Rattus norvegicus: one gene and its partners. The protein of the gene in region 7 interacts with the protein of the main gene of each other region in a pairwise test. Links are inferred from orthologs where the notes say so. Each region holds a gene or a part of one and is shown on either strand. Other genes may lie near its edges.

What was found.
Region 1: the proteins of Nck2 (region 7) and Sf3b4 interact in binary tests that used the Homo sapiens proteins (3 or more experiments, as listed by UniProt). The two-hybrid records come from large-scale screens. The link is inferred for Rattus norvegicus from reciprocal best matches to the Homo sapiens genes NCK2 and SF3B4.
Region 2: the proteins of Nck2 (region 7) and Lrriq3 interact in binary tests that used the Homo sapiens proteins (3 or more experiments, as listed by UniProt). The two-hybrid records come from large-scale screens. The link is inferred for Rattus norvegicus from reciprocal best matches to the Homo sapiens genes NCK2 and LRRIQ3.
Region 3: the proteins of Nck2 (region 7) and Ccdc33 interact in a two-hybrid assay, tested with the Homo sapiens proteins (2 studies listed by BioGRID). The two-hybrid records come from large-scale screens. The link is inferred for Rattus norvegicus from reciprocal best matches to the Homo sapiens genes NCK2 and CCDC33.
Region 4: the proteins of Nck2 (region 7) and Pak1 interact in binary tests that used the Homo sapiens proteins (3 or more experiments, as listed by UniProt). The link is inferred for Rattus norvegicus from reciprocal best matches to the Homo sapiens genes NCK2 and PAK1.
Region 5: the proteins of Nck2 (region 7) and Vars2 interact in binary tests that used the Homo sapiens proteins (3 or more experiments, as listed by UniProt). The two-hybrid records come from large-scale screens. The link is inferred for Rattus norvegicus from reciprocal best matches to the Homo sapiens genes NCK2 and VARS2.
Region 6: the proteins of Nck2 (region 7) and Trim41 interact in binary tests that used the Homo sapiens proteins (3 or more experiments, as listed by UniProt). The two-hybrid records come from large-scale screens. The link is inferred for Rattus norvegicus from reciprocal best matches to the Homo sapiens genes NCK2 and TRIM41.

Annotation. Positions count from the first base shown.
Region 1 is NC_086020.1:186,420,207-186,424,466, reverse strand, and holds the start of Sf3b4 (splicing factor 3B subunit 4), read right to left. Parts: upstream 2,801-4,260; 5' UTR 2,564-2,800; coding exon 2,530-2,563; intron 2,153-2,529; coding exon 2,024-2,152; intron 1,580-2,023; coding exon 1,037-1,579; intron 812-1,036; coding exon 605-811; intron 1-604. Other genes in the region: Mtmr11 (myotubularin-related protein 11), read right to left, coding at 3,921-4,067. UniProt on the Homo sapiens protein: Component of the 17S U2 SnRNP complex of the spliceosome, a large ribonucleoprotein complex that removes introns from transcribed pre-mRNAs.
Region 2 is NC_086020.1:246,777,506-246,781,782, reverse strand, and holds the start of Lrriq3 (leucine-rich repeat and IQ domain-containing protein 3), read right to left. Parts: upstream 2,801-4,277; 5' UTR 2,656-2,800; intron 1-2,655. Other genes in the region: Fpgt (fucose-1-phosphate guanylyltransferase), read left to right, coding at 2,960-3,017.
Region 3 is NC_086026.1:67,371,986-67,375,485, forward strand, and holds part of Ccdc33 (coiled-coil domain-containing protein 33), read right to left. Parts: intron 3,028-3,500; coding exon 2,894-3,027; intron 1,247-2,893; coding exon 1,175-1,246; intron 1-1,174.
Region 4 is NC_086019.1:161,612,950-161,616,449, reverse strand, and holds part of Pak1 (serine/threonine-protein kinase PAK 1), read right to left. Parts: intron 1,686-3,500; coding exon 1,511-1,685; intron 1-1,510. UniProt on the Homo sapiens protein: Protein kinase involved in intracellular signaling pathways downstream of integrins and receptor-type kinases that plays an important role in cytoskeleton dynamics, in cell adhesion, migration, proliferation, apoptosis, mitosis, and in vesicle-mediated transport processes.
Region 5 is NC_086038.1:3,080,635-3,084,707, reverse strand, and holds the start of Vars2 (valine--tRNA ligase, mitochondrial precursor), read right to left. Parts: upstream 2,801-4,073; 5' UTR 2,520-2,800; coding exon 2,319-2,519; exon of another isoform or gene 2,312-2,318; intron 2,185-2,311; coding exon 2,103-2,184; intron 2,014-2,102; coding exon 1,913-2,013; intron 1,491-1,912; coding exon 1,369-1,490; intron 1,268-1,368; coding exon 1,201-1,267; intron 1,106-1,200; coding exon 1,008-1,105; intron 58-1,007; coding exon 1-57. Other genes in the region: Gtf2h4 (general transcription factor IIH subunit 4), read right to left, coding at 3,051-3,223, 3,653-3,731, 3,856-3,903. UniProt on the Homo sapiens protein: Catalyzes the attachment of valine to tRNA(Val) in a two-step reaction: valine is first activated by ATP to form Val-AMP and then transferred to the acceptor end of tRNA(Val).
Region 6 is NC_086028.1:33,684,633-33,688,626, forward strand, and holds the start of Trim41 (E3 ubiquitin-protein ligase TRIM41), read right to left. Parts: upstream 2,801-3,994; 5' UTR 2,090-2,800; coding exon 1,283-2,089; intron 1-1,282.
Region 7 is NC_086027.1:53,205,480-53,209,778, reverse strand, and holds the start of Nck2 (cytoplasmic protein NCK2), read right to left. Parts: upstream 2,801-4,299; 5' UTR 2,714-2,800; intron 1-2,713. UniProt on the Homo sapiens protein: Adapter protein which associates with tyrosine-phosphorylated growth factor receptors or their cellular substrates. Maintains low levels of EIF2S1 phosphorylation by promoting its dephosphorylation by PP1.

The DNA of each region.
Region 1 (4,260 bases), on a different chromosome or scaffold from region 7:
AGAGTTGTGGACTGGGCTCCTACAAGTGAGAGCCATTGAAGATGGTGTTGGAAAGAGAAAAGTAAACTGTGGGTTGAGCAGCAGCCTTTTCTAGTCTACCAAGAACCTCAGAACAGAGACCCAGAATAAATCATAACCTTCACATTTAACACTACAGATAAACACAGAAAAGAGAACCAAGCACGAAATCTACACATACATAAAAAAGGAATTGATCCAGGTTGCTAAAGTTGACATTAGAAAATCTAAAAATACATATGCCTTTAATCCCAGCACTTGGGAGGCAGAGGCAGGAGGATCCCTGAGTTTAAGGGTAACCTGGTCTACAGGGGGAGTTCCAGAACAGCAAGGTTTACACAGAGAAACCCTGTCTCGAAAAACCAAAAGCAGAAATGTCTTCTAGATTTGGCAACCTTGGAAGCAGAGGAGAGGTTGAGAGCTTTTGCCAAGCACAAGCTATAGGTGGAGATAACACAGGAGCACACCAACATGTACAAAGTATTGTTTGTTTTCTGAAGAAAAGGACTCTGGACTATTTCCACCCAAGACAAAGAGCACTGGGAGAAGCAGTACAAAGGCCCCTCTACAAGCTCAGCGCACTTACCTGGATGGGGCATCCCACCTGGTGGGAATGGATGAGGATGTGAATGTCCATGACCAGGATGTCCAGCCCCTGGAGTTCCTGCTGCTGGGGGACCATGTCCTCCAGCCCCAGGTGGCATAGGTGGTGGGGGCATTGCTGGGGGTATCCCAGGAGGAAGGGCCCCAGGAGGTGGCACTGGAGGTGGGAACGAACCAGGAGGTGGCATTCCTGTTTAAGAAATGAAGGACAATTAGTGGTATCGGACAGAATGTCTTTCCCAGCATGCTACACTCCAGCTTCCTAAGGACATGCACCAACTTCTTCCCTCCCACCAGCATCCTCACTCCTCCCTCACTGCCCACTGACTTCACAGCTTACTCTTCCAGGGCTTCCTCTGCCCCCTGACCTCCCTCCCATGGGCCTCACTGGCATAGTCTGAACTACAAGCTGTACCTGGTGGAGGAAGCCCAGAACCCAGGGATGAAACCACAGGATTGGGGGCAGAGGGTGGAGGGGGTGCATCGGCAAACAGCTGATGAGGGCGGTCAGCCTGAGACAGCGGGTTCTGGGCTGCCAGAAGTCGTTCAGCTGCTGAGCCATGTCGTTCACCCTTAGAGTCCTTCTTGAAGGCATAAGACACAGTGATAGGGCGGTTACACAGGTACTGCCCATTCATGGCCTCAATTGCTGCATCTGAAGCATCAAATGAAGCAAAATTAATGAAGGCGTAACCCTTGGAGTTGCCTGTGTCAGGGTCCCGCATAATCTTGGGGGTCTGTAAGATGACTCCAAAGGCGCTAAAAGTATCGTAAAGCAACTTCTCATCAATTTCTGGGTCCAGATTTCCAATGAAAATGTTGGCTCCTACATCCAGGTTTTTGTTGTGAGCCGAGGCTTTGTTCACCCGTATTGGCTTCCCATAGAGTTTGATCATGTTCATAATCTTAATGGCATAGTCAGCATCTTCCTCACTCAAGAATTCAACAAAGCCATAGCCTAGGAAACCAATGAAAAAAGACCACTCAGGTGAAGAGATTCAAAATCAAACATTAACTCACCAGTTTGCAAACACAAAGAACAAAGCAGGTAAGGGCTGGGTGGGGGCTCATGCTTCTAATGCCACCATGCTGGAGCAGAGGTGGAGCCCTGAGTTTGAGGCCAGCCTGGTCTACAGAGCATGTTCCAGGACAGCCAAGGACTACACAGAGAACCACTGTCTTGAAAATAAAACAATAAAAAGAACATGACAGAAGAATAATCTTACTTCACTTGAGAATGGTTCCAGTAACTAGTGCTAAGAGAAACTATTCCAAAAACTGAACTGAAGCTTAAGGGGGAAAAGAACCTTTAGGTTGCTCATTCCAAAGTAGTTGTGACTGGAGTTGTGACTCTTCAGGGGCCGTTAACGCTATACAGGGTTAATTCTCGACATGTACTCACCTTGGTGCTGGCCAGTGACTCTATCCTTTGGCATGTGGGTGTTGACCACTGGCCCTGCCTGGAGAAAGAGCTCCCATAGCAGTGGCTCGCTCACTTTCTCGTCTAGACCTCCCACGTACACCGTGGCATCTAAAGGGAAGAAGCAGGAGGTAAGGAGAGGGTCAAGAGTGAAAAGTAAAATAAAAACCAAAAACGTTAACTAAAGACCCGAAATTCCCTCAGCTTCCACAGTCTAGAAAAATCCGCTACGTCTAATTTGGCATTCTTGCTGATCCTGTATTTCCGGAGAATTTTGTCTTCTTGGTAGAGGAGTATTTAAAGAGAATGGATCTAGAAGCATCACTCTTCATAGGCCTGGGCCTCCACTTGGCCTCGAGGCGAGCCAGGCGCCCAGAGGTCGGTCTCACATCAGAGGGATCTCGTCTCCCACCCAAGCAGAAATGCTTCTGGCATTAATCAGCTCTTCACTTCCCTGCCCCTATCTTGGTCTCTTTTCTCCCAATTACCCTGATTCCGTTCGGAGATCGGTCCGGCAGCCATGGCGAAAGGGCTCCCGCCGTCTCTAAGCAGCAGCACCGCCCCCCTGACCTCAGTTTCTACTTCCACTTCCGGGCCAAGGCTCACATTGGGCGGGGCCGGCGACAAGGGAGGAGCCGGAAGCGATCGCGGCCATCTTAGGAGTCAGATTCGTGTCGGACAGAAGGGAAAGGTGCTCTGGAGCTGCCGCAGCAATCGGGGTGGAACAGAAGTGAATCAGCCGGTCTTGATACAGTTAACTAAAGCCCTGAATGCTTCCAGACTGTTAGGGCATCACACTGCACCCCAAGCGCAAATTGAAATGCTAAACCAAGCTTTGTATGTTCTGTGACGCAGAGACGTGTGCTAGGCAAAGTCCCGCCATATCCAGGGCCAGGACTGCCTTTGAAAACAGCCTATTTTTAATTCGGTCCACAACGCTCGTGCAGATTCGCCCTCGGCCTAGGCTTGAGCTCGAGGTATTTTGGTTTCCCGTAAGTGTCAGAGCTCCTCCAATCTTGGGAAATTTGAGACCGAGGGTGCTCACAGGCAGGTATTGAAGCTTTAAGAGGCAGGTGTGGATCTCTGAGCTAAAGGCTAGCCAGGTCTACAGAACGAGATCCAGGACAGCCATGGCCTCACAGAAAAATCTGTCTCGGAAAAAAAAAAAAAAAAATTCCAGGCTAGCCTGATATACAGAGAGACCTTGTCTCAAAAAAGGTGTGTGTGCGTATGTGTGTGTGGGGCGGGGGGGCTTTCCCAATATTTCATGTGCATTCTGCCCAGCCCTGCCAATCCTTTATTTCCTTACAATAATAAGTGTCCTTTTCTCAGTTCACACTACCCCACAACCACCACCGCTTTGCTGAGATCTTCATTCAATACAAGAAAATACCAGCAATGTGTAGAAATACTGTGCTTTAATGAACTCCTTAAATAGAAATGCTGCTACAAAAATATACAGTGGGAGGAGGAGGTGTCTCCCTTATTCACCTCATTCCCACAGAAGACTAAGAAAAGATTTCAATGTAGTGTTGAGGGGTTGAGAATGAGGTCTCTAGGACACCTTGCTGGGGCTGATGAAAAGGGTCTCTGATATCATACTTTTGACAACCATCCAAATGGCACAGAATTGCCTCGAAAAAAGGCAATCATTCTGAATTGGTTTTGTTTCTTATTTTTCAAATCACAAGAAACAAAAATAGCTCCAGGAACCAAACGAGACAGGAGAGCTGGAGGTTGGTAGCACCATCTACAGAAACTGGCCTACTAAGTGAGCTTTACAGACTGGAATACCAAACCCGAAGCACCAAGGTCAGACATAAACATCAGCAGAAACAAACCCCCGCCCTCTGCCCTGCCTTTGAGATGGCTAGCAGTTTCAGCAGATCTGAGAAAGGATAGTATTTGGATCTCTTTTCTTGCTGTGGTCCTCCGGAGATATTCTTGGTGTCCATTTTCTTAATAGTTCCTGAAGATGAGACAGCTCATCTTGAAGGCCAGAGATTGTGAGAGCTGAAGAGCCTATCTGGGGAGAGGCAAAGGAAGGTGCAAAGAGAGATTGTCACAGGTCTAGTTCCTTTTTCTTTTTTCTTTTTCTTTTTTTCTCAGGTTTGTCTGTTTTTATTTTCAAGACTGGGGTTTCTCTGTGTAGCCCTGGCTATCCTAGAACTAACTCTGTAGACCAGGCTGGTCTCAAACTCAGAGACCCAGTTGCTCCT
Region 2 (4,277 bases), on a different chromosome or scaffold from region 7:
TCATATATATGCTTTATCTCGCCGTGAACTGCTTGTCTTTAAAAACACTAGTTTGTGTTTCCATCAGCAACAAGGTGAAGCGTTATTCTTTCACATTCTTACTAGTTTTTTGGTGTACTGGTATCTTAAATTATGGCCAGTCTGATAGCTGTATAGGGGTACCTCAGATTTTGAATTTGAAATTCCTACAAATGTCTGATATTGAACATCTTTCTATTTGTTGCTTTGCCGTCTGAGTGTGTCCTCCAATGAGGTATTCTTCAATCTTCTGACTGTATTTTGGCTGGCTGTTTGCTTACTGTTGAGTTTGAGTGTCTTGTATTATTTTGGATGTTGGTATTTCACCAATTATGTGTTTTACAATGTATTCTCCAGGGGAGCCACATGACTTGTTATTGTTTATACAATCAGCATCCATCCATATACGGCATCAGGAGTCCATCTCTCTAAGTGACGTGCTTCACTGCATCAGTACACAAACACTATGTAAGACGTGTAGCTTCATATGGCCACATCACTGTATATGAAGCTTTTATCTCCAATTATTCATCATGCTAATGATTCCATCTTATTTACTTTAAAACGACTTTCCAGACAATGCAACATACTCATTCAAACAGCTTTGCCTCTCTTCTTTTGTCAAAGGTCATTGGGTCTATTTTGTGCCGTCAATATCCTCATGGGTGGGGCCACCTACCAAAGCATGGTTTACCTATCAGAGATGCCACGGCCTTAAAGAAAACTGACTCAGCCTCTCCCAGCAGCTATGAATGATCTAGAGTCCCTCAGGTAGAAATAGGTCTTGGATAAGCTATAAAGACTGACCTGGTAAGGGACACCTAATGGCGCACTAGTGAAAAGAATTTCACAGGGGTAATCAACAACTTTCTGATTTGAATTTAAGGATTTAAGTCACCCTCCATAACATAGAGCCCATATCTGGCACTGTTGTTAGAAGCAAGAACCTGTGGCCAGACAGATCATAAAGCTCTAGAAGGGAACCTACTATTAATTTGCTGACAGACATAGCACTAAGCTAACTCCCAACGATCTATTGCTAGACCCATAGATTAGTGCACCACTCAGCCCTCATCAGAAGGGTTTCTTTTTGCAACGTGTAGCTAACAACACAGAGACTCACAACTGGTCAATGTGTAGAGAGTACAACTATGTAATGCTCAAATTCTGAAACTGATATATTATACCCTCTCCTCCCAAGGCTCAGGGTAGGGATCTTTGGAGAAGGGAGGTGCCAGAGGTGGTGGAAACTGTTTTCTGGACACAGCAGGGCAGCTGCAGTCATGAACTCACAGCAGCTGTAACAGAACCCGAGGCCTGCACAAGTTCAAGACAGGGCACACTTCAGCACGGAATGGAAGGGTGGGCGTGAAATACTATACAATACATTTAAATTTGGTCACATTGTTGTTTTCCACTTCCACAAGAATGTGCGGTACTCAGATATGTGGGCCTTTTTTACCTTTATTGTTCCCCTTGGATCCCAACCTAGCACTGTAACTGAAAATAAATTATATCTCCATTCTGACAATTCACAAATTTTTCTAGCCAGACCCATCTTGCTCTCCAGAACCACCATACATGATGCACACAAACACACAATTTATGCTATATTTGCACATGTTTTGTTCTACATATCCAGTATTATTACAGGGTTTCTCTTATGACTTCACTATGCTTCTCCATGCATACCTTCCCTCAGCTCATTTAAAGGCCCTGTCATCCACTTTCAGGCATCTTTTGGTAACTTCTCTCACGATTCACACTCGTGTAGAAGTGTACACGATTCATCATGTAGTGGACAGATGTTGCTGGTCTTCATTTTAAAGTGTTTCTAGAATCTAAGCAATTTCTTCCCACCTCCCATTATTATCTTTTAAATTCCCACTGAATCTCTCCTGGTTGTGCTACTGTAGTAAGCTCCAAATAAACCTCTCTGCTTATATTCTTGCCCTACCCACTGACACACTTCAGTGTGTCCTCTTTAAACATAATGCAGGTCACCAAAATCTGGGATGACTCCAGTTCACTCAAGAATATAAATCACAAACTCTGACTTCTATCGTTGTTACTCTCCTCCCCACAAACTTGTTCACTTTAAATACGGAATTAAATGCTGAGGTCAAGACTTTAAATGTACAACTAAGCTTACTCAGAAACTTAAGTTCAGAGGGAGCTGCTATTCAGAATTCTGAGTTAGATTCTAATGAAGAGAAACTTCTCAAGTCAAATTGTAGGGGTAAGGTTTCCGGGTTTCAGACTGAAATGTCTTCCTTAAATGTTGTTACTCTCTATGTCCTGTGTGTAAGGTTAAAAGAGATTAACCTGTAGTACCCATATGAACTACGAGCTCTATGAGAGAAAGACATAACGAGCCAACCAGCCAAAAGTGTGTTCATTCAATAAGAGGCTCTTCCCAATCTCTGGCAATCTCCTAGAAGCAAGTGAATACAACTGAGTGTGCCATTGCTGCCTAAAGGCGCTACTTCAGAACTGAGCCTGGGAAGATGGCCAACTGAAGGGCACAGGGTGGTCTGGCCCACCAGATACATCCCACAAGGCGGAGCCTGTGGTTCAGGGACCTGGTCTCCCTGGGAGGCTTCTGACAGGAATAGGAGCTTGGTGAGGGCAGGTCACCTCAGCATCTGGGTGGTAGATCCACTATCGTGGGAGGGTTGGTCTCCTCTGGCGCAGACGGGCTGTCAGACGTGGTAAAGCGGGAACCCACTGCTCCCGCGCAGCCCGGCACCGCTAGGTGCCCGCCCATCTGCCCCACAGAGCGTTGCCTAGGAAACGCCGCTTGCGCACGCTCACGCCATCCTAGCTTTCCAGGTCTCATGGCGCTTCCAGAGCCGCAGTGACGTGGCATGCACAGCGGAGGCGGGCGCGTGCGCGGTTTCGGAGTGCGCATGCGTGCTAAGTGGGCTCCCGGAAGTCGGCCATGGAGACTCTCCGGGAAGCCACCCTGCGGAAACTGCGCAGATTTTCGGAGCTGAGAGGTACCGCGGCGGAACTGAGTTCTCTGCTCCCTTGCACGGAGGGCTCCTTCGCAAGGACCCCGCGCCGCTTCCTGTTCGCTTCCTCTTCCTGTCCAGCCGGGCTTTCCCTTCTACCCCTCTGGCTTTCTGCGAGCCTAAATGTAGATGTGAGGAAGGAACAGGAAGAAAATTACTAACGGAAAGTAACACACCGCCTAACTCAGTGGTAGAAGTCAGTTTACCTTGTTTCTTCCCCTTTCCCAAGCCTTTGCGTGATTCCTGTTTATTCCTATGTAAGCTCTGTACGAAGGCAATCATGGCTTATTAAAATTGCTAATGTAAGTTTGGCCTTTAAAGAAAAAACAGACAGGTACTTGTCCTTCTCTGAACAGCTGTCTGGCAAAATTGTTATGTCTGACTTCCTAAAATGTAGGGGTTTACATTTGGATACCAGAATGATTGGAATTATTAAACCCTAGCTGACCTATCTGTCTCAGTCTATGACTCTTTGCCATCTCCTTCCTTCTTTCCCTCCCTCTCCCTCTTTTCCTCCTTCCTTACCCCGTCCTCCTCCCTCCCTTTCTCTCCCCATTCCTTCCTCCCTGCCTCTCCTTCCCCTCCCTCTCATTCTCTCTCATCTTGTTAAAACCCTATCTCTATTTTTGATGGTAGAAAAGAGGGTTCCGTTCTACTGCTTCCTTAAGTGCAATTTGTCATTTAAAGAGTTCATTGGGAAGTTTAATCCTGGGCTTTGTGTAGTATTTTGATTGTGTTTATCAGTTCAGTTTGATTATCATAAGTTAATACAAATATTAAAAGCCAGGGCTGGTGTTGCAAGCCTGTATGTTCATCTACGTGGGAGGCCCAGTCAGCAAGAAAGAGGTTCAGAACCTATATGGATTACACAGACAAATAGATGGTGATGAAGAAGGAGGAGGAGAAGATAGATAGATAGATAGATAGATAGATAGATAGATAGATAGATGGTGATGAAGAAGGAGGAGGAGAAGATAGATAGATAGATAGATAGATAGAGGAGGAGAAGATAGATAGATAGATAGATAGATAGATAGACAGACAGACAGACAGACAGACAGACAGTACAGGGCCAGTCTGTCAATTAGTGTAAGGGTCCATAATTCACTGAAGAATGATTCACCAAAGAATGATACCCCAGACTTAAATAGTATGCAAAGGCAAAGAGTGTTTTATTCGGCAAAGAGTGTTTTATTCTGCAGAAGTCAAGTATGCTGGGGTCTCCCATTGCCAAGATAGAGAGAC
Region 3 (3,500 bases), on a different chromosome or scaffold from region 7:
GGTGAGGCTTTCACATTGTCATCTCTTCTCAGATACTGTCCTCAGGGTCAACAATGTGGAATTCTCATGGTCTTCGTGGGGAAGGACCTAAAGCCCTGAACTATTCCACAGCTGTTTGACCTGAGAAGCTAGAAAGAGTAGGTTAGCCCATAATCAGCTCTTGAACATTTCCTGGGCTCGGGATCAAACTGTCCACATCCCAGTACCAGAGAGGAAGGAGTAGGAAGCTGTCAGGTACACCAGAGCCATGACCGACATCAAAGCTGGAGTTGGCCTAAGTAGAGCTGGCTGGAGAAGCAGTGGCCACTCACCAGGCATGGATGACCCTGACAATGTTCCTACTTGGATTAAGTTATGGCAAGCGGGATCCTAAAATGGGTCCTCAAGTCCCGACACCTCAATCTTTAGCATTGCCAAATAGAAAGTCATCACTTTGATGGTTCTGTTGCAGACCTTGAGACGCGATGATCCAGTTCTTTTTAAAAGCACAGAGTCTTCTCTGTCTTCTGACAGAAGAGAAAGTCAATTTCAAAGTGTGCTGGGGACTAGCTGTGCCTGCTGGCATCACAGTACAGGGACTGTGGTAAGAAGGCACGTGGGCGGTCTCCAGGAGCTGTGGGCGGTCTCCAGGAGCTGAGGGCACCTTGGCTAGCAGCCAGCAAGAAATATGGGCCACCAGTCCTGCCCTGCAAGGGGCTGGCTCCTGCCTGCACCCCTAGAGAAACTTGGGAATACACTAGTCCTCATATTCTAGAAAAGAATTTAGCCTGTTTACTGAGATTTTGATTACAGCCATGCTAAGCAATATGTACTCCAGAGGCTAGGAAAGGGGTCTCGCTAAACAATGATCCAACAGGAAGGGACCAATCTCCCCTGGAAGGGACCTCCCCTGGAACTTTGACCCCTAGTTAAGCAAGTATGGGTTAGGTTAGGTTTGGGTAGAGAGAAACTTGGGTCTTTGTGGCCTTTTGTTCTTTCCTCTTCCTAATCTTAGCATTCTGCCTGACTTCCCGGGGGTCTCAAATCCCTTCAGAGCTTTCCAACTGAACCAACTGACTCCTTCTTCTCCTTAGCCCCAGGCCCTGAGGATCAGCACCTGTGAAGGACATTGTCACCCACTTAGGGGATTATGGGAGCTGACACATGTCTGACCTTCCCAGGCTACCACGCTTACCTCCGAGGAAAGCAGCTGGAAGGCTAGATTCACTGAGGGGGCTTCTCCGTTGATGGTTTTTAGGTTGGTGTCCTGGGGAGGAGAAGGCGCATTAAGTCCACATGGCCAGGCCAGCTTCAGGCAGGCCTCTGCTCCACCTCTTGTTTTGGCTTCTCCAGGACGAGGGAAGGTGCCAAGGAGTGTGGGTGGGATACCAGAGCTGGCCTTCTGCCTGTTCCTGCCCTACTTCCATGCCGAGCTCTCACTCCATTCAAACCTGACTGGCACCTCCACACTCATCTTTTGGCGGAGCAGAAGTTTCTGCTTGCTGTTATGTCAGAAGTATTTAGGGAAACGGTGGCTCAGAAATAGACAACGATGCTGGTGGCATATGCCTGTAATCCCAGCACTTGGTAAGTGGAGGCAAGAGGGCCGGGAGCTCAGTTACCACTGGCTACGTAGCAAGTCTGAGGCCAGCCTTGGATACCTAAGAACCGGCCTCAAAAAGATAAGGGAAAATAAATGTAAAAGGTGATAAAATAATGATATGATTTCCCCCATATTTTTCTAGTGGGGATTGAACCTTTGGCCTTTTGCAAGCTTACACACTAGGCAAGTACTCTTCCACTGAAGCTGCACCCCAAGCCTCGGTCTGATTTTATTTTATTTTTACTTATTTATTTATTACTTACTTCTTTAAGATCCCCAGGATAGTCTCAAACTCCATCTGTAGCCCAGACAAGCCTCAAAGTTTCCATTTTTAAATTTCACTTCAGAATTTACAGGCCTGTGCCACCAGGTCTGACATTAGTGAGAATTTATTCTAAGTGCTTTATGTAGTTCCTGACCAAATTCCATAGCAATTGTGTGAGCACTCTTCTCTGTGTGTGTGTGTGTGTGTGTGTGTGTGTGTGTATGTATGTATGTATATGTGTGAATGTATGTGTATGTATGTGTGTGTGCATGTGTGTGTGTGCATGTGTGTATATTTGTATGTGTGTATGTGTGTGTATGTGTATGTATGTGTGTGTGCATGTGTATGTGTGTATGTGTGTGTGTGCTCGAGTGTGTGTATGTGACTATGTGTTCATAGATAAGAAAACTGAGGCACAATACTAAGTATTTTTCCCACAGGGAGAAGTATAATCACTTGAAAGCAGGCTCACGGTGAAGCCAGAATTGGAGCTCAGTCCCTCTGTCTCCAGGCCCTGAGTATAAACCTCTGCTTCCTGTGTCCTGGGTGTGTGGACAGAGGTGAAAAATGAGGTCTTGGGAGGTTGTCAACTGTCCCAGGTCCTACAGGAAGGTGGGGTAGGGAAAGCCTTGGACCCTGCCTGGGGAAGCCTGAGCTCTTACTGTTATTCTCCGAGGCCCCAGGTTTGCTTTTCTGGGGGCTCAGCCTGGCTTGTCACCCCAGCTGCACAGCCTTTGGTGCTCCTCACACGTGCAGGCTTCCTTGGGGGGTGCTCTGATAGAAGCTGTTAAGAAGCCACATTTACCTAGATGGTGGTGCCTCACGCCTCTGATCCTAGCACTTGGGGGGGGGCAGAAGCAGACTGATAGCTGAGTTCAAGGCCAGCCTGGTCTACAGAGTGAGCTCCAGGACAGCCAGGGCTGCACAGAGAACCCCTGTCTAGACAAAACTTTCCCCCCAAAAGCTATATTCTGTTCTTTAGGTGTGGCCATGGAGTAGGGGTGGGATGGGGCCCTGTGGGGGACCAACTAATAGTAGGGACTTACAAAGATGGGGAGTCGCTCCACTTGCAGCCCTTTCAAGCCTTTTCCTGTCAACATCTTGCGATATAGATGAGACTTCAGTGGTAACACGGAGACACCCAGGGGCTGGTTGAGGGTCCATGGTTCGCTGCTTTTCACTGTGTGAGGAAGGGCCAAATGAGGTCCTGTCAATGACTACCTGTTCGTACTGCCCCAGCAGATGGGTTTTTAGGTATTACCCAGGCCCCATCCTTGGCTATGGACAGGAAACTCTCTGGGCTCCAAATGACTACTTCCCTGCCTCCTGTTTCCCTTACACGTGCACTCACGCACACACATACACTCACACACACACATACACTCACACACACATGCACACATGCACGCACGTCCGCAGGCATGCACACGCACTTGCATGCACACACACTCTGCATCTTTGGTTCTTCAGAGATTTATCAGCTCAGCATGAACTCTAAACAGATTCTGAACCCATTGGTATTTATCTGGATTGCCCTGACTCTGCCCTCTGGGTGAGTGTGTTCCTCAATTTAGACTATGGGGCTGGACTTGGGATCAGCTGTTTCCTCTGCTGTTTTCCCAGTATACTCTCCCCTCACTGACAGAGACTTAT
Region 4 (3,500 bases), on a different chromosome or scaffold from region 7:
AAGATGAGGCACATTTAAGACAGTCACTACTCTCAAAAGCTCAATCTAAGGAAAAGAGGAGCAAATGGAAGGTGCTGCAAAAATACAGGATTGCTGTGGTCAGTGCTGAAGGGATAGGGAATGGCAAAAGGCACAGACAGAGACTGAACAGCTTCAGAAAGGCGCTGCCTGGACTGATTTTGATTTTAAGTATAAGTTAGCCAGGTTAAGAAAGCCAAGAGAACTCTGTAGCAGGGGGCACTTTAAATAAAAAACGCAGAAGTATGAGAGAGCCCACGGGTCTCACAGTGGGATTCTAGGGCAGGGAACTGAAACCCACAGAGGGAAGATACTTCTCCAAACTCATACATTAACTGGTGCCAAGGCTGGTTCTTAATCTCTCAGCCCAGTAGCTTTTCCACTGATACCCCAACCACTAGGATTTGGTGCTTCTCACATATGGTATTATATCTTTTGATTTAAAACAAATCAAGTGTAAGTATCACTATTTAAAAGATGTGAAGAGGAAAGGAGACTCGAAGGACAGCAGGAAGTTGTCCAGGCCAGACTGCTTTGTATAATGCCTTATATTATTATTTAGGGATCAGGAGTACACATGATTACACAGATGCCGAGGAGTGGCTTTTACCTCATTGTGAGGGCCCTAGCAAGGGCAATTCTTAAGACAATAAACTGAACAAACAAAAGGGTTAAACAAGAATTATTAAAAAGAACAGGAAGCTGCCAAACTAGACCACAAAGCTCTGCTTTAGAAAGCAACGTGAGCATACAAACTTGATCAAACCAGTACATCAAATCCTTTTTCAATGATTTCCCAGGCCACAAAAAAATAAATAAATAAAATAGAAAATAAAAATCAACCTACACGTACTATAATAGGTGATATGTTCTATTTATAACACATCTTGATCTGACCTTTGCAGCTCTATGATCTGGAGCAGGGTATAGAATCTTTGGGTCTTAAAAACCTTAACTGCATAAATGAAGATTATCCTGAGTATCTTCTCAGAGTAACTTCAATACAATTTAAAAAGTCAAGAAACTATCTTGCTTGTCATTTCCACACAGAACAGGCTCATAAAACATTGGTTTCCCCCCTTCCTTCTTTTTCTATAACTATGATGGCAGAATTGTCCTCTCCTAGGTCAATAGCAAGCATCAACAAGAGCACCCTTTCCACCAGGAAGAGTCGATACCTCGATCTTTCTCCATACAATACTCTAGACTACTCACAAAATAACAGCTATTGGTTATGTCCGTAACACTCAACGTGAGCTGCCCACATTCTCTATTGTCTCTATCCTACAATATACACACCCAGAGCTGGTGAACACAGACAGGGTGAAAGTTCAGATGATGAGCAAGCCTTACAGCCTATAGGTCAGGAGTTACAGAGCCAGCCAGGCACATGGCTAAAACCTAGGAGCCAGATCTTTATTGCAGCATTCCATTTCAATGATTAATCAGTCACAGACGGAGTGAAGATTCAAGAAAGCTATAAAGTGCTTACGTAATTTCTCTAAGATCTCCTCATCAGACATTTTAGGCTTCTTCTTCTGCTTTTCAGTATTCCGGGTCAAAGCATCTGGCGGAGTGGTGTTATTCTCAGTAGGAGAAATAGGAGATGTAGCCACATCCCGAGTTGGAGTAACAGGAAGTGGTTCAATCACAGACCGTGTATATACCTGCATAATCAGTGGAAATTTTGGCAAAGCAGCCTTTGTTAGCATAGTGGAACCTCTTCTGAATGTTCTAGTTAGAACATCCCAGGAACCTTCCCCCTTCCCCAGTTACCCTTTCTCTTATATGTCAAAATCTGCATTAGTCCTCTTCTGAGCCACAGCCCATTTGTCCTGGGTAAAACAACCTTCCTTTGCTCTCACTTTACAAGAAGGGTTAGTGATAGCCTTAGCACTGAAATCACTCCAAAATGGCTAGACGATGCTCAGTAAAAATTTGGAGATTTTATCATTAGATGGAAACCTTCCTCACCCAGAGTATCGACTCTGTTTTTTCTGAGATGAATCTTGTGTGTACCTGACACTTTGCAACACTTGACATTGCTTTCTATGGAGTTATTCCCTCTTGAACTGTTGAGCTCTTACCATGAACTAACTACTCTTATTCATCAAGAGGCAGAAGGGTACAATAATTTAAAACAAACTTGGAAACCTGATGGCCCAGGTTTAATTCTCAGCTTCATTACTATCTGAATGACTTCTACCAGTTTACTTCATTTCTCTGTGCTTCAGTTTCCTTGTCTATATAAAACAGTGACACCCACCTTATTTAATAATAAATCAACATGTGAGAATGACATGGCCACGAGCAGCAGATATTAGCATTCAAACCTCAGCTTTTAGAGACATTCTATTTCCTATCCATTTGTTTGTTTAACAAATATTTGCTGAGAATTTATGGTACGTCTAGCTCTGTACAAAACACTGCTTTACTCACGCTGAAAAAGGAAGTGTGAAAGTAATTGTTACAAAAGCAAAGGAGAGATGTTATTAAGAAAGGAGAAACTCTATACTACCAAGGTAAAGAAGAAAGTATTCCCAGGTTACACTCCCTTTTCTAGAAGATGTGTATTTGTCAGATTTTTATCATTAAAAATTCATAATTATTTTTTGATTATTTACAGGGTCTACTGAGACAGCACACATTACTCTTCCCTGAATCCTCTAACTAACTCCAGCCTAATAAAAAGCAGGCATTTGGGTATTTAAACAGAATCAATTAACAAATGGACCTATCAGATGTTTCAACAGGACTGGCTTTCTGACTTCCCTAGCAAAATAATGTCTCAATTTTTATTCCTATTCATGTAGAACAATTATATTCCAGATACTTAAACATTTTTGCTTCTCCACCTATAGTCCCTTGAGGAAAGATGACCTGTCTGTTCCCTCTAAAACATTCTCCTTAACTGGTTCCCAGTGCATGTCTATACACACAAAACTATATGTGGTATGTGCACTATCATGGAATGTAATCTGGACTTGGATTTAATTATCTGCTCTTAAACCCTGACATTTGCTTACTAAGTGATTATGACTAGATCAAATTACTTATCCAAACCTCGTCTGCTTCTATAAATTAGGACTTAGCAATATTTATTTCAGAGATGAATGTTAAGAAAAGCACATTTATCAATATAGTATTCAATATTTACTGCCCTCTCTCTCTGATCTTTCTGCCCAAACTATATTAAGTACCAAAAAGATAAATAACACATAGATAAGTGAGTGATAGATACATTGATAGGTAAGTAGATTTTTCTCTACTTTAGAGAGAAGACTGTGTTAAATAAGTAGGCCTGCAAACCAATGCCATACAGAAACACAAACAGGACACTCAAGGGAGACAGTGACATCTCACTGATTCAGCAGGCTACTTTCCTTAAGGTAACTTTGTGACCTACAGACAAGGAAATCCATATTCTATTTATAAGTTCTTAGGCTAAGAGATAGGCCATCTAAATGGATTTCTTCCACAGC
Region 5 (4,073 bases), on a different chromosome or scaffold from region 7:
TCCCAGTCCAGAGAGGCGCCCAGGGCGCACAGCTGCTCGTAGATCTCCCCTCCTTTCCTGCACCAGAGAGTCCTATCAGTAAATATGACCAGAGCAGCTCCTGGCTCTAACCATGGCTGCTCGCCAACGCCAGAGGAGATGAAGTGTGCACGGAGGTAGAACCACACACCCAGGACTAAAAGATACAGAAAGGGCTACAGATGGCTCAGTGGTTAGAGCACTGACTGCTCTTCCAGAGGTCCTGAGTTCAAATCCCAGCACCCCATGGTGGCTCACAACCACCTGTAATGGTATCTGATGCCCTCTTCTGGTGTCTGAAGACAGCTACAATGTATTTATAAATAATAAATAAATCTTTAAAATAAAAGATACAGAAAGGTCTCTGCAGGGTTCTGAAACACACACAATGGATGACTATCTTGGGCTACAGCCAGTAGTGTCTAAGCTGTAGCCCATGGGTTGTGTGCACGTACATACATACTGCATAACAGAAACATGTCACTGCCATGTAGAAAAAGTTCACATTTGAGAATTATGCAGTAAAGAAAAGAAAACCCAAAAAGTCCTCAAAGTGTTCTAAGTTTACAATTCACAGCTATGCTGGGATGTATGAGGCCCATGCCACGGCGTGTGGGATGCAGGAGCAGCCACAAGAGAAAAAAGTACGTGACCACAAACGTAGGAGGGTCCAGGGGCACAGGAGAGGTAACAAAGTCCAAGAAAACAAGACAAGGAGGGTAAAAAGAACCCACACATTTGTACATATCCATTCATATACACACGAGTGTGTTTGTGTGTGCATTCTAACGTGAGCATAGCACACACATAAATGTATATATTTTAACGTGAGCATAGTATACAAATGTGTACATTCTAACACACACACTCTTGGCTCGGACACCCCATCCGTCAGAGCCCCTGCTCTGAGGCAGGAAGAATGGAATGCTGTCGGTCAGTAGCGCTGACAAGCAAAGACTCAGCCAGTCACACTGGCCCTGACAACTTACTCCTGTTTCCACTGCCACACAGCCCTGAGGAAGTCCTCCCGGCTCAGCTCGTGTCTCCGCACTCTCCGCTCCCTCCACAGCTGTTTCTCCACCACAGCCTGAAGTGGGATCGGGAGAAAATGAAAGCTAGTCAGCTGCTTCACATAAAGACAGCTCTTTCAACCAAGCAGAGGAGAGGGGCTACAAGACCCACCTGTGTAGCAATTCCTGCATGATCTGACCCGGGGATCCACAGCACACGATCCCCACGCATCCGGTGCCTGCCATAGAAACACCACGGGGACCCCTGAGCTCACTTATCCTCATCCCAGGTCCCTCCAACCTTCCCTTTGGGAACGGCAGCAGCCCCGTCTCCTCTCACCAGCGCACAAAAGCATCCTGTATCGCCACTGTGAGCGCATGGCCAATGTGCAGGGAGCCCGTGACATTGGGAGGTGGGATACACATGGAAAAGGTCTCCCCTGTAGCTTGGGGCAGCCTTGCCTGGAAGGAATTAGGAAGTCAGAAGCCAGGGAGAACTGGATGTTGCCTGGGGGAACAGCACCCTCTGGTGTCTTGGGGGCAAAAATAACTTTAAGAAGGCATGGGGGAGTAGCACTCTTGGGGAAGGCAGAGGAAGGTTGATCTCTGAATTTGAGGCCAGCCTAGTCTACAGAGCTCCAGGACGGCCAGGACTACACCAAGAAAGAAACCTTGTCAATAATAATAACAACAACAATAATAATGAGAGGGAAATCAACAAAAACAACAATAATAAAAGGGAAATTCAATACGGGGAAAATGAAAAGAAAGCCAGGGGCCAAAAGAAATAAAGGTCAGCTGTGAAGTTAGCCTGTGCTCACCAAGTTCAAGGGCCACCCACTCTGTCTTAGGGACCTCGGAGAAGCCCTCTGCCGCGCACTGACCTGATACTCTGGTTTGAAGAAGCCCTCTCGCACCCACCACTGGTACCAGGCTGCTTCAACATATTGGGGGCTGTAAGCAGGAGGCAGGGGCCCGGAAACATCTGTGGAAGCAGAAGAGAGATCCACTTCTCAACCGCGTGTTAGCAGACCAAAGAGCAACAACGTCGCAAAAACATTCCCTACACTTTACCTTTCTTTTCACCTGGCCGGGTGGGGATTTCATACAATACTACTTCCTTGTGACTCCAGGCCTTAGTGGGCACTGCAGGTGTCTGCGGGGAGGAAACAATGGTGTGTGTGTGTGTGGAGGAGGTGCAATTCCCAATACACCAGTCATCTGGATCCCAGCACCAGTCTCCTTCAGCCCCTTCCCAAGTCTTGGGAGACCCAAGGACTGACCCCTGACCTTGCTCTTCTCAGCCAGCCCAGCCTCCAGGGCCGCCTGCTTCTCCCGCAGGCGCTTCTGTTTGGCTTCACGGTTCCTCCGAGAGACTGGGGAGCCGTGGGGCTCCGGTTGTGTACAAAGTGCCCGGGGCCTGGCGAGACCCCATGAGGGCCTCAGCCCCCAGAGAGGTGGCCGGAAAGAGGCCAGAGGTAAATGAGGCATCGGGAGTGTTTAGGAAGGGGTGGAGGTCTGCTCACTAGATCATGGGGTGCAGGAGGTCACGACCCTTCACTCCGGCCCGCAGGACCCTCTCACTCTACGTCCTTCCGCCTAGGGGCGGAGCGCACGGCGGGACCGCACTCTGGAGTCATTGAAACCAGGGCGTCCGGAAGAGGCGGGAGCTCTGCCCCTCACCAGGACACGAAGGTTGGGGTTCGGAAACTAGGGACACCCAGGTCTCAACCTGGGCCACGCGAATCTACCGCGAACGCCGCAGCGAACTCCCGAGCGATAGGAGCACCGCCGAGGCGTGCGCGCGTACGTGGGCGGGGCTACGCATGCGCAGAAGACTCTCGCTCCTGTGTAGAAGTGGATTTCACCGAGCTGGAATGGAAAACGTCGGCAGGCGTCAGGAGCCGCATAGCTTTTTTCCACAATTTTATTAAACAAGAAATGTCCCGATGTGTAAACAAAATACACCTGAGTTGGAAAGCTGCCCGCCCGCTCGCCCGCCCCGGGCCGGACCCAGCCGGCTCAGGAGCTGTGCTTCTGCCGCTTCCAGAAGCGCTTGACGTCGCTGTGCCCCGCCGGTGTCACCACCATCAGCCGCTTGGCCGAGTTCTCGAACACGAGCACGCCCAGCTCCCGCGCGTGGGCCAGCAGCAATTCAAAGTCCACTTGCGATAGGAACTGGTTGTACAGAACGCCTGGGGTCGGATGGGACAGGCAGGAGGTGAGGAGCGCTGCAGTGGTCTCGGCCCCTCCGAGCAGCATCCAGGCAGGAGCTGCAGGCCACAGTTCTAATTCTCTACGGACAGTCGACTATTCAACTTTTAACACCCGTGGCATCCAGACACTCGAAAAGCCAACAGAATCCACAAGAAAAAACATGCACACCCACCTAGAGAGATGGCTGAATTACCCCTCCCCTTACCCCCACCTAACTTAATCCAAACTGCACTGTTGGGGACATATTTCCTGCTACCAATATATCAAAATAAAGGATCAGTTTCCTCTCCTTCCCAGAGGGGAAACAAATATGAAATGCACAAAACCTTTTTCATTTACCATGGCGAAATTGCTGGCCTTACCTCTTTAGCCAATAGACCGAGATTAGCTCAGCAGGAGCCACTCACCTTCAGTGAACCGAAGTCTGTCCCTTTCCAGCTCCCACAGCCGAATCTGGTCTGTTATGGTGGGGGGCAGCACAGGAGTCTGCAGGACAAGGGTGAGGCTATAGGACCAGGGCAAATGCCCAAAGCAGTCTCTGGTTCCTCATCCATCCTCCCCTTGCTAGGTGCCCAGACTGCCAGCCTCCAGCCTTTGTACCCATCCATACCTGTTTGAGCATCACTGGATGGGCCCTGGTCCTTAGGAAATGGATAATCTAGGAAAACACAAGAATGTAGAAAGGCATCTGAGAGGTCACCTAATGTCCCTGAAACAGCATGTCCGTGTTCTCCTAGCCACAGCCCTCTGACGGGACCCATGCCTGCTAGCTGTTACTTCCAGGTCACGCCTGTGACCCCCTCTAGGTACTCCTGCTCTCTCCATAGT
Region 6 (3,994 bases), on a different chromosome or scaffold from region 7:
TGACCTTGAACTGATATTCCTGCTTCCGCTTTCCCAAGTGTTCAGATTAGAGGCTTGCATGCCCATCTTAGGCTGTTTTCTTTCTTTCTTTCTTTCTTTTTTTTGGCTCTTTTTTTCATTGCTGGGGACCGAACCCAGGGCCTTGCGCTTCCTAGGTAAGCGCTCTACCACTGAGCTAAATCCCCCTTAGGCTGTTTTCTATAGATACTCTCACTGACTCTGAACTTCTGCAGTACGGCCTACTGTACGTTTGCAAACCTCCTCGAGTAGCGGACGATCAGCTGTGAAGCCTCAGACTCTAAAGCTCTGTTAATGATGACCACCTAAATAAAGTTACTGATCGAATCACAAATAACAAAGCTCTGGCCTGACAGAGGCTCCACACTCCTAGTTCCTGGCTTCGATTCTGAAGGTAGTTCTGTGTTGGATGTCTCATAGATAAATGTCCTTCACATATGTCCAAAGGATCAGAGAAATAACCAGACAGTTAACCAAATGAAATTACACTCCAAGAACAGTCAAGTCAGAAAGTCAAACTAAATATCCAAGTAGGATGTAGGCCCCAAAGGGAGGACGTTCACATCAAAGTCTATCACTAAGGCTGTACAGCATATAAACTCCATGTTCAGAACTTAAACCTGTTTCCCAATCAATAAAATGAGAATAGCAAACATCAAACTCACAGTGTCTTTGAATTATAAATGATAATCTATAAAAAGTGGCCAGCACAGTTCTGACTATATGTAAGGTGTCCTGTGAATATTAACTAATATGCCTGTGGTAATGAAAGTTCAAAGACACTCTCAAACTTGAGCAAGATGTTTTGCCCTAAGAGCCTCTCTCTTTTCTGGTTAATACATGAGACTGGGTGCGGAGAAAAGCCAACAAAGCCATATCCTAGGAGAGGTGTGGAAACCATTGAGAGACAAGTGGTTTTTGTTTTTTTTTTAATCTGACACTTGGCTATTTCTATGCTCCTGTTTCAGGCCCTTCACTTGTTCTTTAGGTCTCCATTTCTTGCAATCTTAAGTCTTACCCATGTCAGATTCATCCAGAAGAAAACAGTACTGGCAGTGAAGCACTCCCTGTCACTAGTCCCCCTATCCTTAAGCCACAAAGGAAATTAGAGGATCCTTCTCATTTACCCACCTTGAAGTCAGTGCTTAGACAGGGAGAATCAGTTTTCAATGACAAGGTCCTGTTAGGAGAACCCACATCCCGTCCCCAATTCTCTTTACCTCCTTCCCATCCTAACTACATCTGCCTCCTCTCTTTTACTCACCTTGTACTCCTGCACTACCTCCTCCAATGGCACCACACTATGCTGTTTGTGGCTCCTGGATTCGCGGCACACCACACAGATGGCTTCTTCATCCACCTCACAGAACAGCTTCAGGGCTTCTTGGTGTCTGGGACAGATGCCTTGTTCATTCACACGACTCCCTCGACCAGGGGTTGGATGCATCTGCCGAATCACCTGGACCATGTTGGCCAACTGCAGGTTGGGGCGGAAGCTCCGCCGAGGAAAACTTTTTCGACACTGGGGACAAGTGAAGCACCTCCGAGGGGCTGGAGGTGGTGGCAGTTGGGTGATCGGGTCCAGCTCCTCTTCCTCGTCTTCCTCCAGGACTTCCTCCTCCTCATCCTCATCTTCCACCCTCAGGTCCTCCACATCCCCCAAGTAATAGTCCAGTTCTTCCTCCTCCTCCTCCTCCTCCCACACATAGTCCATGTTGTCCCAGTTAGACCCGCCTATACCACTACTCCAGAACACACCTTCCTCTTCCTCCTCGGCCTCCTCCTCCATGTCACCCTCATAATCTTCATCGCGCATAGGGGTGTCCCAACCCCCGCCTGCCCCGACAGCCTCCACTTCTTCCTCCTCTCCGACCTCCTCCTCCTCCTCCCGATCCAACTCATCTCTGTCTTCTTCATCCTCCCCGCCCCACAACTGGGTTACACACACTCGGCAGAAGTTGTGCCCGCAGCCGATGGACACGGGGTCCGTGAAGTAATCGAGGCAGATGGCGCACACCGCCTCCTCCTGAAGGGTCTGCACAGGGTTGGGTGTCATGGCAACGGCAGCCATCTTAGTGTCCAGTCAGCCAGTGTAGAAGTGCGGTGGGGGGAGCGGGGGGGTGGGGCGGGGGGGTCTCCCGTCTCTGAAGCCCAGAAGACCCGTCCCCACCCCAAGCCCAGCCTCTCCACACCTTGCCTGCGGCGAGGCAAAGGAATGTCCTCCGACCAGCCCGCCCCTCCACACACAGTCCCCTACCCCGAGACGACAACCTTGTCTCACAGAAGGGAGGGGACAGAGGTGAGTACCACCGACAAGTACCTCAGGTGGACCTGAGTGCAAATCTGCCCCAACGCTCCCCTGGCCTCCTCATAAACCCCCGCCCCTCCTCACTTCCTGGCCCCGCCCCCCAGCTTCCGGCCTCCCTCCCAACGCTTCCGGCGTCTCCACACGACCTGAACTCACGAGTTCCCTTCGAGGGTGTGTTACGCCCCCTTCTCCCACGCCCAGCCCCGGAGCGACAGGAAACGAGGAGGAGACGCTCTAGCTGACACGCGGGAACAGGACGGGAGGGCTAGGACGGCGGAGGCCCACATCTCGGTGATGACTGGCCGCGAAGAACGCGTACAGAGCGGAAGAAGCCCCCATGCCCTGCCAGCGGGGACAGACGGCGGAGGGTAGCGAGGACGTTGAGCAGCGCCCTGTTCTCCGTGCTACAATCGCAGCGGCCTAGCGCCATCCTACCGACCAGGCACGGACGACTGCAGAAGGGACTCCCAGGACCAGAGCCGGAAGCTGAGGGGCGGGTCCGCTCAGCGTCCTCCAATGTTTCCGGCCCCTCTAGACCCAAAACTTGTTCGTTTGAGACTCCGGGGGTCCCTCCAAATAGGATCTTGGGCGGAGCCTGACGGCATATGATGAGCCTGGAGTTAGAGGGGCTCCGCCCTCCTTCTGTGCTGGGCATTTTCGTGTCCGTTTTAGGAACTGCAACATTGCCGGCGAACTACAGCACTCCTATAAACCCAGCACTTGAGAGGGTGAGGCAGGAGAATTGTGACAAGTTCCAGGTTTATCTAACCTGAACTGCAAAGTGAGACCCTGTCCCAGACAACAACCAGCAACCAGTCAAAACAAACAAAAAACAAAACAAAAACCCTGTCAACTGGTCACTTCTCCCATTACTTATTATTAATATCCACGTTCATATTAAATGGAACACTGTTCAGCTATATAAAAGGAATCTTCGGAATAAATTAAGTAAAAAGTGCAGATTGCTGAACACTGGAGTATATAGGAGGGCAAGTAATGTTAAGTGTATTTGGTACTTTGAATGTCTACACAAAGTAAATATGTAGTAATATAAAATAAATCATACAAAGTAAACCATAGTTGCTACCTCACAGAATTTCGTGAGGATTTTGAGGTGTTGAAGTTAGCTACTCTACCATATTCTCGTCTGTGGAGGGAAGAAGACAGTAGAATTTCTCTAGGAAGGCTGGCCAGTCAGTAAAGACACTTTTCCGATTACGTAGTTCTTTGTATATCCTTTGGAACAAGTCCGTGTGTTCTCTTTAGAAATATCTTCCAAGCGTAATGGGGTTATTCCAATTTTAATACTTTCTGTGGGCCGTGCACACCTTTCATGTCGTTCATCCGAAATGCTTTTGAGATTTGTATTCCTGAGAATTTCAGTCTAAGGGGAAGAGGCGTCCCGAATTGTGTTGTGGAACTTATTTGTGAGAGAATCCTATCCCTGTGGTCCCCAAAGCATTTCTCTTGCAGCTTTTTTTTTTTTTTAATCTCGTTTTTGTTAGTCTGGGGGTCATAAATAATTGATGCACCATATCCTCTGAGCGCAGATTTAGTTGGGTACCGTGACCTCAGAACACCTCTAATTGAACGTACTAAGATCATGAACCTTAGTGGGGCAAATCTGGTTTTAGGAAGTGGACGCAAGCCTGTCCGATTGTAGCTTTA
Region 7 (4,299 bases):
CCGTAACCCTAGTGTGGCACTGCTATGTCGACCTAAAGAGTATTTTTCATGGCCTGGAGCACTGAGAATCTCAGGAAGTCTACTTCAGAAGAAAGTGGGAGGAGGGGTGGGAATGTGGGTATGGTTCCCTAAAAAGACTCTACCATCACGTTCTCTGTGATTTGTCCAAAGTGAATTGTTGAAAAATAAAAAAAGTCTTTTTTAAAAATTGCACTATTCTGATGGCCTAAAGAAATGAATTATTTTCACCAGGGCTGCATACCTCTGATAGCTTGTTTTAAAAGACTGCTTTGACCTCCTCTGAGCCACCTAACTTACACATAACAGCACAAATGTTGTCTTTTTTTTTTTTCACTTATGCCCTTTGAAAACACCCTGAGAAGTGTTTCCATCACTCATTTTTAGGAAGGAGAAATAATTCTGAAGCAACATTTGAAGTCCCTCTGGATGGGAAAACTCATTTCCTAAGTCTCTAGTGGAAGCTTCCCAGTTCTTTTGTAAAGAAGAGTTAGCTTATGAGCTTCTCCCAACACTGTTCACTGCACTGTTCCGCACGTGGGACAAGCAGTCTTGAATTCTTCAGTCATTAAGGCTCATTCTGAACATCAGAAAATCATTTCCACAAGTCATGTCAGCCCCAGTGCACACTGCAAGCCAGTCACTTAGAAGCATATGTGCCCTACAGAGCAACCAAGTCTGGTCTTGCCAGGGCAAATTAAGCTAATGCAAGTGATCAAATAAAGACCTCCAGGTCGCTACGCAATCAGTGAGTCTCATGGCTGTTTTCAAGGGGTCCAGTCTGCTCCAACATTGGAAAGAGCTGGGGAGATTTAACAAGGATCAAAGCACATTTTCTCAAACACCTGGGCATTGCTGTTTGTCGGGAATGTTCAGTACCCCAACGTACATGACAGAGGTCAGGAATATGACAGGGTCAAAGAGAAAAGGAGGATGGAGACGGAAGCAAGGACTGCTGGGAAAAGCAAAACTGAAAGCCTGGAAAAGGACTGAAAACAGACGACCAGGAGCTGGAAACCACCTTTTATAAGCTCTACCCATTTTTATGAGGTCAGTTTCTCCACAAGTGGGCAAATCACCTATCAAGTGGCCAGAGCTCTCATAGCAACTTCCAATCCTGAAAAACGGGACTCTGTTCAAGCACATTTCAGAAGCTGAGAGCAAGACAGGCAGTAAGCTGTAACTCAAAACTTTACAGCTGCACAAAGTTCTCAATTCAGCTTCAGATCACTTCGACCTTTACTTTCTTCAGTCAAAACTACAGGAACCTACCAGGAGGTGAGAAAGTTTAAGGCGGGATTGTCCCTTGTGGTCACTTAGGAAAGACCCGAAGGTCTAAAACCTTAACTGTCTAAAGTGCACCTTCTCCATGTGTCCATTGGCTGCCTTCACTACATAAACCAGGCACAAGCACGAAAGTCCTGTTTCTAAGTCTGTATCTATAAACTTGGAAAGTGAATGGAGGGAGTGCCCACAGCGCAGTTCAGATGTTCTGATAAAGTAGTGACCTTTAGACTGGAAAACCACTGTTGCTAACTATACCAAAAAACCCAGGCTTGAAACACACCCAAAATTATTCTCATTCCTCTTCAAAATCCCAGCAGAAAAGCCTTCAGTGGGTGAGGAGCAGAGAAGTCTCCAAGGGAGGGTACCAGCAAGCCACGCCCACTGGTCAATGGGCTGTTTCTTTTTGGGTCAACCAAGGAGGCGGCCTGTGCACCTCCAGCCCAAACTCGGACCTGTTCACCACACACACAGATGCAAAGTTGGCAAGACCGGCCTTAAACCTGTTAGCAAAATAAGGAAAGTCAAATACGGAGGAAGCTGCCGACCTGAATGGGCTACGGTGACAGGGCCCATTCCACTTGGCGCCCAGCTGTGTTCCCAAGCTGTTCACAATACTACTGTTAAGTCACGTCTGCTATCCATTAGCCACCACCCGCGCACACCTTCCGGGAGAATCGTTGTTGTGTATAAATAAGTGTTTTCCAAATCAAACCCCTTCACACAATGCCAAGCTAAAAGTGCTCAAAAGGGAGGTGCCATCGGGACATTAAAAGTCACACATCAAATTCTTGCAGAACCACTTGCTTAAATCGCCCTGAATAAACTAAGGGGGCAGAACAACTGGGAAAAACTTTGGTTCAAGAGGTTTAAGTCTTGGAAATGCGGGACCGGGCGCAGGGACTGGAACCAGGCACAAAAGCGCCCTGAGCCGAGGCAAAGACCTCCTTTAGAGAACGTGACAGCAGCTTTGTGCCGGATCACGAAGTACAGTAAGTTCTCCCCGGCCATCGCAGCCTCCCGCTTCCTAGCGCTGTAGCCCTCGGATCCTAGGCTATTCTTCCCAGGCACGCGCGCCCGGCGACTCGACCAAGGTTCGGTCCCACGCCCGCCGGCAGGCCAGGGTTGCTTGTGTTCCCGAGGGCTTTCGGTCCTTGGTCCCCGTTGTCTGCCCGCGGAGGGCGCCCCACCCCCACGCCAGCCCGAGGCTGAGGGAGGCGAGGGCTCGCAGGAAGGTGTGTATCCGAGGTGCGGGTGCCCGGGGACGGCAGGCCGCGCCGGGGCCGAGGGCACTAGCCGGGTGCGCAGGGGTACGCGCTCCCTGGCCCTCCCAGGGCGGCCCCGGCCCGCCCACCCCTCTCTTCCAACTCTACCGACCGGCCCAAGTTTGCAGCCCCCGCCATCGCCTTACCTCGCTGCACAGTGCACGCCGAGGCCGGAGGGCAGCAGCGCTAGTCCCGGGGCGGCGGCCGCGCTGCGCCCGCCCAGATGCCGCTCTTTGTCTGCACCGCTCCCTCCTCCCGCCACCAAGCGGACGCAATTGGACCCGGCGGACCCTGCCGGCCCGGGAGCCCCGAGCCTGCCCGCCGCCGAGCCCACCCCACCACCACTGTCGCCGCCGCCGCCGCCCGCTCGGCCGCGCGCACCGGCCTGCGATCTGCGGCGGCGACCCTCCCGCGCAGCGCCCGCCTCCGCGCGCTCCCCGCCCGCGCTCCTCCCCGGCTGCCGTGACGCCGCCCAGGGGCCGGCCCATCCCGGCGCACGCGGGGCGGGGTACCCACCTGGGAGTCCCGGCCAGGCCTAGGGAAAGCGCCGCCTGCGGGCTTCAAGCCGTAACCCGTTCTAAATTGGAGTTGGGGGCACACGGGAGGGGCTGCAAGGGAGAATGAAGGGCCACTTCCAGCACACGAGACCCGGTGGTCTCCGCACCCCGGCTGTGCCTTGGATTCTTACAGCGATCTCCCTACCCCGCCTCCCCCCAAGCATTCCCACGGCACTCTCAGCCAAACAGGCCTGGTGTCTGTCAGAAAAGTGACTTACGTGAAAATGTCACTTCCTCCCAGTAATTGCTTGTGGGCATTTTCTTTATTTATTTGCCTTGCATTTATTTACTTTCCCATCCAGACACTTTTTTACTCCACCCCACCCCCGGCCCCCCAGGCGGGACCACTTCCTAGTGGGGGGGGGGAGGAGAGGAAACCCGACCTCTGCTGCCTCCGCAGCGCCCTGGCCAGCTTCTTAAAGCCCCGGAATTCTTTAGTACAGGAGGCTGAGAAAGCTTTAGAAGGAAGTCTCTCTCTCCCAGCCTTGAGTAATAGCTAACCTGTAAGCAAACTTGGAAAGCTAGAACCCTAGAGCGAGGGGAAGGAACACATATACCTTACACACCAGAATCCAGATGTTCCTTCTCCAAGCTCCTTCACTCATGATTCCCCAAAGGAAACACTGATATTCAAATGAATTCAGTTTTCCGGTTGGACAACTCACGTTTATGTTAATGAGATTCTACCCTATCTCTTGGCTCCTCCTTATTAAGGAAGGCAGCAGCAATACACCTTAAGTGACCAGGCAGCTGCCTCCCTCCCTAAAGGAAGTTCCCAGGCATAAGTAATCTGAGGAAGCTTGGCACCATCGTCATAGCAGCCTTTGACTGTAGGCTACCTGAACTGTGTCACCTTACATAAGTCTTTCACAACTTCCTCAGCTTTAACACATGAGATGTTTACCTGCCCTCTATGTAAAGTAGCTGGCATGTAGCCGATACTAGGGCATTGGGAGGAATCAGATACAAAATTAGCATACCCAACAGTCTCTTCCAGTCAGAGACGCTAACTTCATCCTTTGATGCAGACCTCATCTTGTTACTATCTAGCTTTGCAACAATGAAAGCAGAGCTCTAATCAATAGTTTAGCCCCACTTAAAATTAGTTTATGCTAAATAAGTAGGACAACAGGGACAGGGTCTTTAAGCGTTTGCTTTGAATGGCAGCCTCAGAC